Linked DNA regions of Xenopus tropicalis. The protein of the gene in region 1 interacts with the protein of each later gene in a biochemical or structural test. Links are inferred from orthologs where the notes say so. Each region holds a gene or a part of one and is shown on either strand. Other genes may lie near its edges.

Region 1 (3,564 bases):
CATTCATTCCTTTTTTTAAGGAACAGTTTAACTGTCCAAGTGAAATATGGATTTTCTTTGTCCTGTCATTTTAGAATATGTCTGTTATTGTTGCCCATAATCTTATCACTGACCCTCTGTATGCTTTTCTAGTCAGTAGGTTTAATTTTGTGATTTTTACTTACATCTGCTTTTATGAAAATATAAGGCCCGTAGCACAAGTAACATTTCTCTTTTCGGAGGAAAAATGCCTGATAGCTTTATGTCGTTAAGATGGATGAAAACTGCCACCAGTGGTGACAGGTGGATTCTATTTACCTGAATGGCAGAGGCACAAATAGGTATTGATAGTTTTTCAGTTAGTTGACAAATGCTTACTGCAGTAGTGATAGGATGACGTTCCACTATATGGTGCTTAAAAAAGGTTGACTCCATGCTTACTACTAGACATGGTAACAAACTTTGGAACAATTTTCTTTAGTAAAATAAATCAGTCTATAACTAATGAACTCTTGTATGGCTAGGTTTAAATGGTGACAGTATTCAGCGTGCACTCTTTTTAACTAGTATTGCTCTCTTTCCACAGGACAGGAAGATTATGATAGATTACGACCTCTTAGCTATCCACAGACAGATGTGTTTCTAGTTTGTTTCTCCGTCGTGTCTCCATCTTCATTTGAAAATGTGAAAGAAAAGGTATTTTAAGTCATTTACTGTGATTATTCTTTTTACTATATTAAACTATCCTCAAACCAAAACTGTTTTTTTGTTTTCAGTGGGTACCTGAAATCACTCATCACTGTCCCAAAACTCCATTTCTGCTGGTTGGCACCCAGATAGATTTAAGAGATGATCCTTCAACAATTGAGAAACTGGCAAAAAACAAACAGAAACCAATCACTCCAGAGACAGCTGAGAAACTGGCCCGTGACTTAAAGGCAGTAAAATATGTGGAGTGTTCTGCACTTACGCAGGTGAGAAAACAGCAGCTATGTTGTAGAGCTTAATGCTCTCCAATGGTTATACTCTTAGACCTTCATTAACTTGTAGCTCTCAAGTAGATTGCATAATAGTTTAGATTTTGGACTAGTACAAATAGCTTGAAGGCTGATGCAGTATATTATAACTGTATGAGGAAGAAAAGGGTATTATGCCAAAAAAATAGAAATGTATTGAAATACAAATTCTGGTTCATATTATGGGATCAGCATCTACTTGATTGTTGTAGTAGAGTATTTTAAAACAGAAGATCAGAAAACACATTCCTTTTTTCTATATAAAATGTTATCATTTTGGAAAGTGCATTACAAATTTATGAAGACTGTAAATACACAATCAAACTGACTTTCCATGGAAGTATACAGGTATGGGACCTGCTATCCTGAACACTTGAGACCTGGAGTTTTCTGGGATCTTTCCATAATTTGGATCTCCATACCCTATCTACTAAAAATCATTTTAACATTAAATAAACCCAATAGGATTGTTTTGCCTCCTATAAGGATTAATTAGATCTTAGTTGGGAGCAAGTACAAGGTACTTATTACAGAGAAGAAGGAACATATTTAAAAAAAATTATTTAAAATGAAGTCTGCGGGACAAGCCCTTTCCTTAATTCAGAGTTTTCTGGATAATGTATACTATACCTGTATCTGAAAGGCAACCATTGTAAATAGATTTAGGAGAGTCCAGTTAGTACCTTTTGAAGTACCCTCTATCCATTTTTCATTTTATTTTTTGTTAACCCCTTTTTCTTTCCTACACTTCCTTTTCAAGGCATATATAGAACATGCTTGCTTTAAGACATTTTGTTGCCTCGTCTTAAAATATTATATTAACCTTGTTTCTTTAGAGCATGGGAGTTTTGTAGATTACTCTCATCAAGCCACCTACCCCATACAGGGCCAATACACCCAATTCAAGGAGTGTTCTCTTTAAAGAAACACTGTTGTTCCTGCTATTGCTGCAAGGTAATGTGCAGCCTAACAGCTTGGACTAACTCTTGTGCCTGCAGTAAACCTTCTGCTGTATTCAGGGGAATTTGCCCGATGTTTACATAACCTGCAGCCACTCAGTGCTTACATGAAAATAAAAGCTTTCTGCAGTTATGGTCTTCTACACAGTGGAATAGAACTTACTGGTCTCAACAGATTTAATTTACCACTCCTAAACTTTGTGAATAAGACAATTTGCCAGACTGTAGACTGCTTATCTTTCAGTTCCCCATGTATCCCCTCTGCCCTCAACTGCCTATAGTTATTCCCCTGCCTCTACATAAACCCAGTTGTCTTGGAAAATCCATTTCACTGGATTATTGCCTTGATATCGTATAGACCACTTGGCTTTCAACACAGACCTGCCAGATTATTTGGTTTACAGTGTTTTCCATTTTAGTAAAGTACATTTTTATTTTCGGTTTGCATTTCAGGTTTTTTTCTTTTTGTAATCACTTTTTTTCCTTTACTTTAAATTCTCAACTCAGCTGCAAGGGTTACGTAGAAGACTCAGTTTGGATCTGCCAACTGTATGCATGTTGTGTCTCTGTAAGGGCTCTGGCACATGGGGAGATTAGCCCACGACAAAACTCCCTGTTCGCGGGCGACTAATCTCCCCGAGTTGCCATGACCCGCCATCCCACCGGCGAACAGGTAAGTCGCTGGCGGGATGGCACGCGTGGCGGCGCGATTTCCCGAAATTGCCGAAAAAGACTCGCGAGGCTTTTTCGCTGGAGGGATGGCGGGTCATGGCAACTCGGGGAGATTAGTCGCCCGCAAACAGGGAGTTTTGTCGCGGGCGACTAATCTCCCTGTGTGCCAGAGCCCTAAAGCACTGTGGCACTATTTTAAGGATATTACTACTCGGAGCTAATTAACTGCACTTGGGGTGGCATCATGTACAGTATTTGGCATCATGACATCATGTACAATTTCTATTTCATGTAGGGTATAGCCATACACACACTTGTTCCATTTTGCAGCATGTTCCTTTTCAATCCGTTGGGTTATATACTTGGCTTGAACAGCTCCTAGGATAAATTTCTTTGTCTTGACATTTTTGCCCACACTTATAGTTTAAGCCTAGAATATAAATCCAGTTACTCAGCATTTAAAATGGCTTTCGACAATCCAACATTGTAATATGTAAGTGCCCCTGAACTTATCTTCTGCCTCAGAACATATTGCACCATTTCTTAAAGGTGTTCTGTCATGGCAAAACATGTTTCTTGTGCAACATGCAGGTAATAGTGCTCCTCCAGCAAAATCCTGCACTGAAAGAGCAAACCGCTTTTTTTTTTTATATTTAATTTTGAAATTTGATGTGGGGCTAGAAATGCATACTCTTAAGGTGGCCATACACGCACCGATATTATCGTACGAAACCTCGTTTCGTACGATAATCGGTGCGTGTATGGCATGTCAGCGAGCCGACCGATATCGCAGGAAGCTGCTGAAATCGGTCGGCTCGCCGATCGGCCAAGTTAGAAAATTTTGATCGGGCGCCATAGAAGGCGCCTGACCAAAATTCTCCCTTCAGAGCTGAATCGGCAGAAGGAGGTAGAAATCCTATTGTTTCTACCTCCTTACC
Region 2 (4,114 bases), on another chromosome or scaffold:
TGGTTCTGATATCAGTAAGCAGAGCTTAGGATGAGAAGGGGAAACAAATACCCCAGTGATGATGTCCAGCTGGGGCTCCAACCCAATGGAATTGGGGTTCTACTGCATATTTCAGTGGTGACATTGATGGCCAAAGTTGCTACTGAACGTAACTATCACTGTAGTCATGTGAGGGGCTGATGCATGGGTTGGGTGGCTTTAGATGGAAATGACCTAAACATCACTGTATCACCGGTTACAGTTCCACTGGCACTATATGGCTACTTATACTGCTTGCCTATGTGTAACTGCTGCTTGGTGGTTCTACAATATGCCTGCTTAGAGTAGCTATCAAAGCTGGCAAAGGCTGATGCCAGTGGAGGGGCAGCTTCTCAGCCTGTGTTTTTCCCCGCAGGCCAAAAATCAGCCACTTGTGGCATCAGTTTTACCTGAGCCTGCTTTGATGGGAGAGATGGATTATTTTTCTTTCAAACCCCCTTCAGCGGTATGGCCCCTTCCTCCAGCTCCCTAGTAGCCAGGCAATCTTTCTCCTCATGAGGCACTCCAGTCTCTTTTTTTCCCCTCATTCTGTAAAGCAAAAGAAAGGTGAGTATGGTCGTTTCCACAGGGCTGATTCTAGGCCTGGGGATAAACTCATATACTGGCATTACCATTTTCCTTTGCCTGCACACCCTTGTGGCATTAGCCTTAGGTTACTGGCACACAGAGTTGTTTATAGGCTTTTCTCTGCCTGCTGTTTCTACACAGATGGAGATAAGTCATAACAGGATTCTGGAAACAAATGGAGAAAAGATGATCTGCCCTATAGCCTTGTATATAAATCACCTGATAACAGACAATGCTGCAGCACTTTTCAGGTCTATTTCATACATCCAGGCAGGGTTGCTGCTGCTTCTGGTAACTTAAAGAGCTTACATTTGAAATCAGAATTTTGGCTGTTATAGTGCAGAGAGTGTTATTGTGCTCTGCACTAGAAATTGATTATGTCAAACAGTAACAAATTGAATATTTACCTAAAGGAGCCTAAAAAACACAGGGTTAAGGCTTAATTGAAAGAAATAGAGTGCAGTAAATAGTATACACATCCCAGGGAAGGAGTTAAATACTGACGGAAAGGGAAAGCATAAAATCCCGCCACATACTATTGCCCAGAATGTCTCTTCGCTTATTGGCTGCCAGCATCTAGCCCCTCCCCCTTAGGTTCCTCCCAAATAATTTGCAGCGGGGCTGTGGCTGTGAGAAGCAGAGCTGGCTGATGTGCGCTGCGTGAGTTCCCTACTGTGGCTGTGCGATACTCCGACCCTGAGCGACAGATAGAGGGGGCTTACAGCCGCTCCCAACTCCGGCTGCGAACTCTGGGACGAGACGTGTAGTGAGTGCGTTTTCTATACACTTCTATATATGTATGCTGTTATTCCCACGCTGTTTTGACGTAGTTACATTAAGGACTGTGTTAGACAGCGCTAGCTCTCAGGATGTTGTGCAACTACAGCTCCCAGACTCCTTTGAAGTTCTGTAACAACTGTCAGTTTCCTTCAGACAGTTTTCATATGTTTAAGTACTGTGTTTCTGTTCGACTTCTGTTCATTTTATTGTGACTTCTGTAAATCTGTGCTAAATGTGCTGCCTTGTGTAGGGCTGCTAGCAGGTAAGCCATTTCCTGCATGTACCAGGCAGTTAGTGCTAACCAGGAAGTACAGATCTTTCTTTAGTCACATTGCAGATTTGTTTGTGGCTAGTTGCACCCAGTGTGTGTGTATGTATATATTATATATATATTATAGTGCTTATACTCCCTACATAGTGGTGTTACTCTGAAATGTTCACTTACTCAGGTCTATTTCTGCCCAGTTCCCCTCTTTTAGGACCTGTAGGACTTTGCTGGTTAATTCTTGTCTATTTTGGCCTAAATAAGTCTGCCAGGAATACACTAATAATCCCAACTGTATGTGAATTTGTTCGTCGGATTTACACATGATGGGTGAATGTCATTCCACCTCGTGAGCCGCCACTGTAAACAGTCACTGTCACATGCTGCTCTCAGTGCCATTAGAAAGGCTGAATAGGAGGTTCTGTGCTGAAATTGACAAATCCAGCTTATATAGTGTTACCGGTTATCGGCAGTGCTTTACCTGGAATCTTTTCTGATGCAGTAAGTCCCTGTGATGAGCAATGGTTTGGCCTCTGTGACAGGAAGAGGCCCCAGTATATCAATTTACTTTGTCCTCATATTACACACTGCCATTTCAATCTTAAAGGAACAGTAAGTTGCTTTTTTAAATAAAAGCCATCTTGTAAGGTTCATAGTTCAAACCACAGGATGATTGATTTTGGGGGACCAGCTGGCCAGTTGTACGTCATATTGTACAGTCGGGATACACATGTGGGAACACGCATTTCTCAAAGGAAGTGGCAGTGAGGCGTGGTATCTGTCGCTTCCCATTATATGAAAGGGTTTGGTAGACAGGTCTAGACTGGGATACAAAAAAAGCCCAAATAGTCCATGCCAGCCCATTAACTATCAGTGACTGTCTATGGCATCTTACAACAGCCCCACTGGCATTTGCCAGAATCCACAGATTGCCAGTCTGGGCCTTGTGGGGAAACTATCATGTATTTATTATCCGAAATGCTCATAACCTTGGCTTTTGCGGATAACAGATCCTTCCCTTCTGCCAGGTGCTTTATAATAGGGGATTTAGTGGAAATCGGCATGGAGTGAGGGTTTTGCAATTTGACCCGAAATAGCCAAACTATAATACTCTGTTTATGGCAGTGGAAAACAATTCTCGTAAGCCATTGAGGTATGCTGCAACACAATAAAGGGATATTATAATAACAGGTATAGAATGATTAGATTTTGAATTGCTCTTGTTAAATTTAAATAGTGTCAATAATGAAATAAGAACAGTTTACCGTCTATGAAAATGCTATAGATACCTTTTCTACTTCAATAAGGGAGCATATTTCCAGGCCATGATCTAGTTTCATTCAGTCTTTGGACTATAGCACAGTCTCTAGTAAAAATGGACCTCTATTTATATAAAGCCGCTGCATTGTGCAAAGATTATGTCAACTCGGTCCCTCTCCCAGTGGCGATCTAGGGTCCCTGTCAAACAGTGATCATTTGTTTCTAGGAGGCACCCCATGCAGAAATTGGGAGAGTGTACAAAATACACGTAGAACAACGATGTTACCTGAACCTGATGTGCCACCATGCAAATTCATGTTTACTACAAATTTTATTAAAATATATAATTCCATGCAGGTCAAGCACTTTGCCAGGGGCTACAACAGCAGCTTTGGTACCACCAGAGCTATAGGGTTAGGAAACCACCCCTGGGGTGGTTTCTTTTGGAAGTACAAAAGGCTTCATACAGCTTTTAGTTCATTACATAGTTCATTACATAGTTCATTACATAGATTTTGGATAGCATTCATTTATCTGCCATTTAGTTCCATACATAGGTGGCTATACATAACCCAATAAAAGCTAACCTTCCAGACCTAGTCAGCAGCTTATTGGCCCATGTATTGGACCCACTGATGGGATTGGCCAAATGATATCTGGATGAGAATAGAGCAGATATCAAAGGGACAGGTTTTATTTTTATACTTGACAAGGACCCTGTCAGCATGTTGGTGTCAGTCCTCATCTGACAGGACTTGCAGTCCCCTCTGTATGGGGTAGGATTGTCCTACTTTGGCCTAGCACGTGGGTGGCCAGCTGTCACCCCCCTGCTCAATAGTTTGGGAACTACTAATGTAAAATGTTGTGGGTTTCATTACATATATAAAGGCAAAACGTCTATTAATATATTCATTGTTTTTCGATTTAGTTAAAGATGAGTGGTTCCTTTTTAGATCACAGGATTGGTGTCCGTTTCTTTGCAACTACCACCAGCACATTGCTGTTTTTATTTTCTTCTGCTGTGAGTATGGGAACACAATGGCCAGAACGTGGATATCCAACCATGTTTGTATTTCCCTTCAGTACATGTGGCCTAGTTGCACTGATCCAACCAGCTGGGCAGATCACTTTGTTGCAATTTGTTTTATGTATAGGCAGTCCTGCATTTTGGTCTAAAACTGACTGAATAGTATTATGCAACTG

What was found.
Region 2: the proteins of cdc42 (region 1) and cdc42ep2 form a complex in vitro, tested with the Homo sapiens proteins (3 studies listed by BioGRID). The link is inferred for Xenopus tropicalis from reciprocal best matches to the Homo sapiens genes CDC42 and CDC42EP2.

The regions. Positions count from the first base shown.
Region 1 is NC_030683.2:94,425,854-94,429,417, reverse strand, and holds part of cdc42 (cell division control protein 42 homolog), read left to right. Parts: intron 1-565; coding exon 566-675; intron 676-755; coding exon 756-953; intron 954-3,564. UniProt on the Homo sapiens protein: Plasma membrane-associated small GTPase which cycles between an active GTP-bound and an inactive GDP-bound state. In active state binds to a variety of effector proteins to regulate cellular responses. Involved in epithelial cell polarization processes.
Region 2 is NC_030680.2:31,692,232-31,696,345, forward strand, and holds the start of cdc42ep2 (cdc42 effector protein 2), read left to right. Parts: upstream 1-1,287; 5' UTR 1,288-1,372; exon of another isoform or gene 1,373-1,376; intron 1,377-4,114. UniProt on the Homo sapiens protein: Probably involved in the organization of the actin cytoskeleton. May act downstream of CDC42 to induce actin filament assembly leading to cell shape changes. Induces pseudopodia formation in fibroblasts in a CDC42-dependent manner.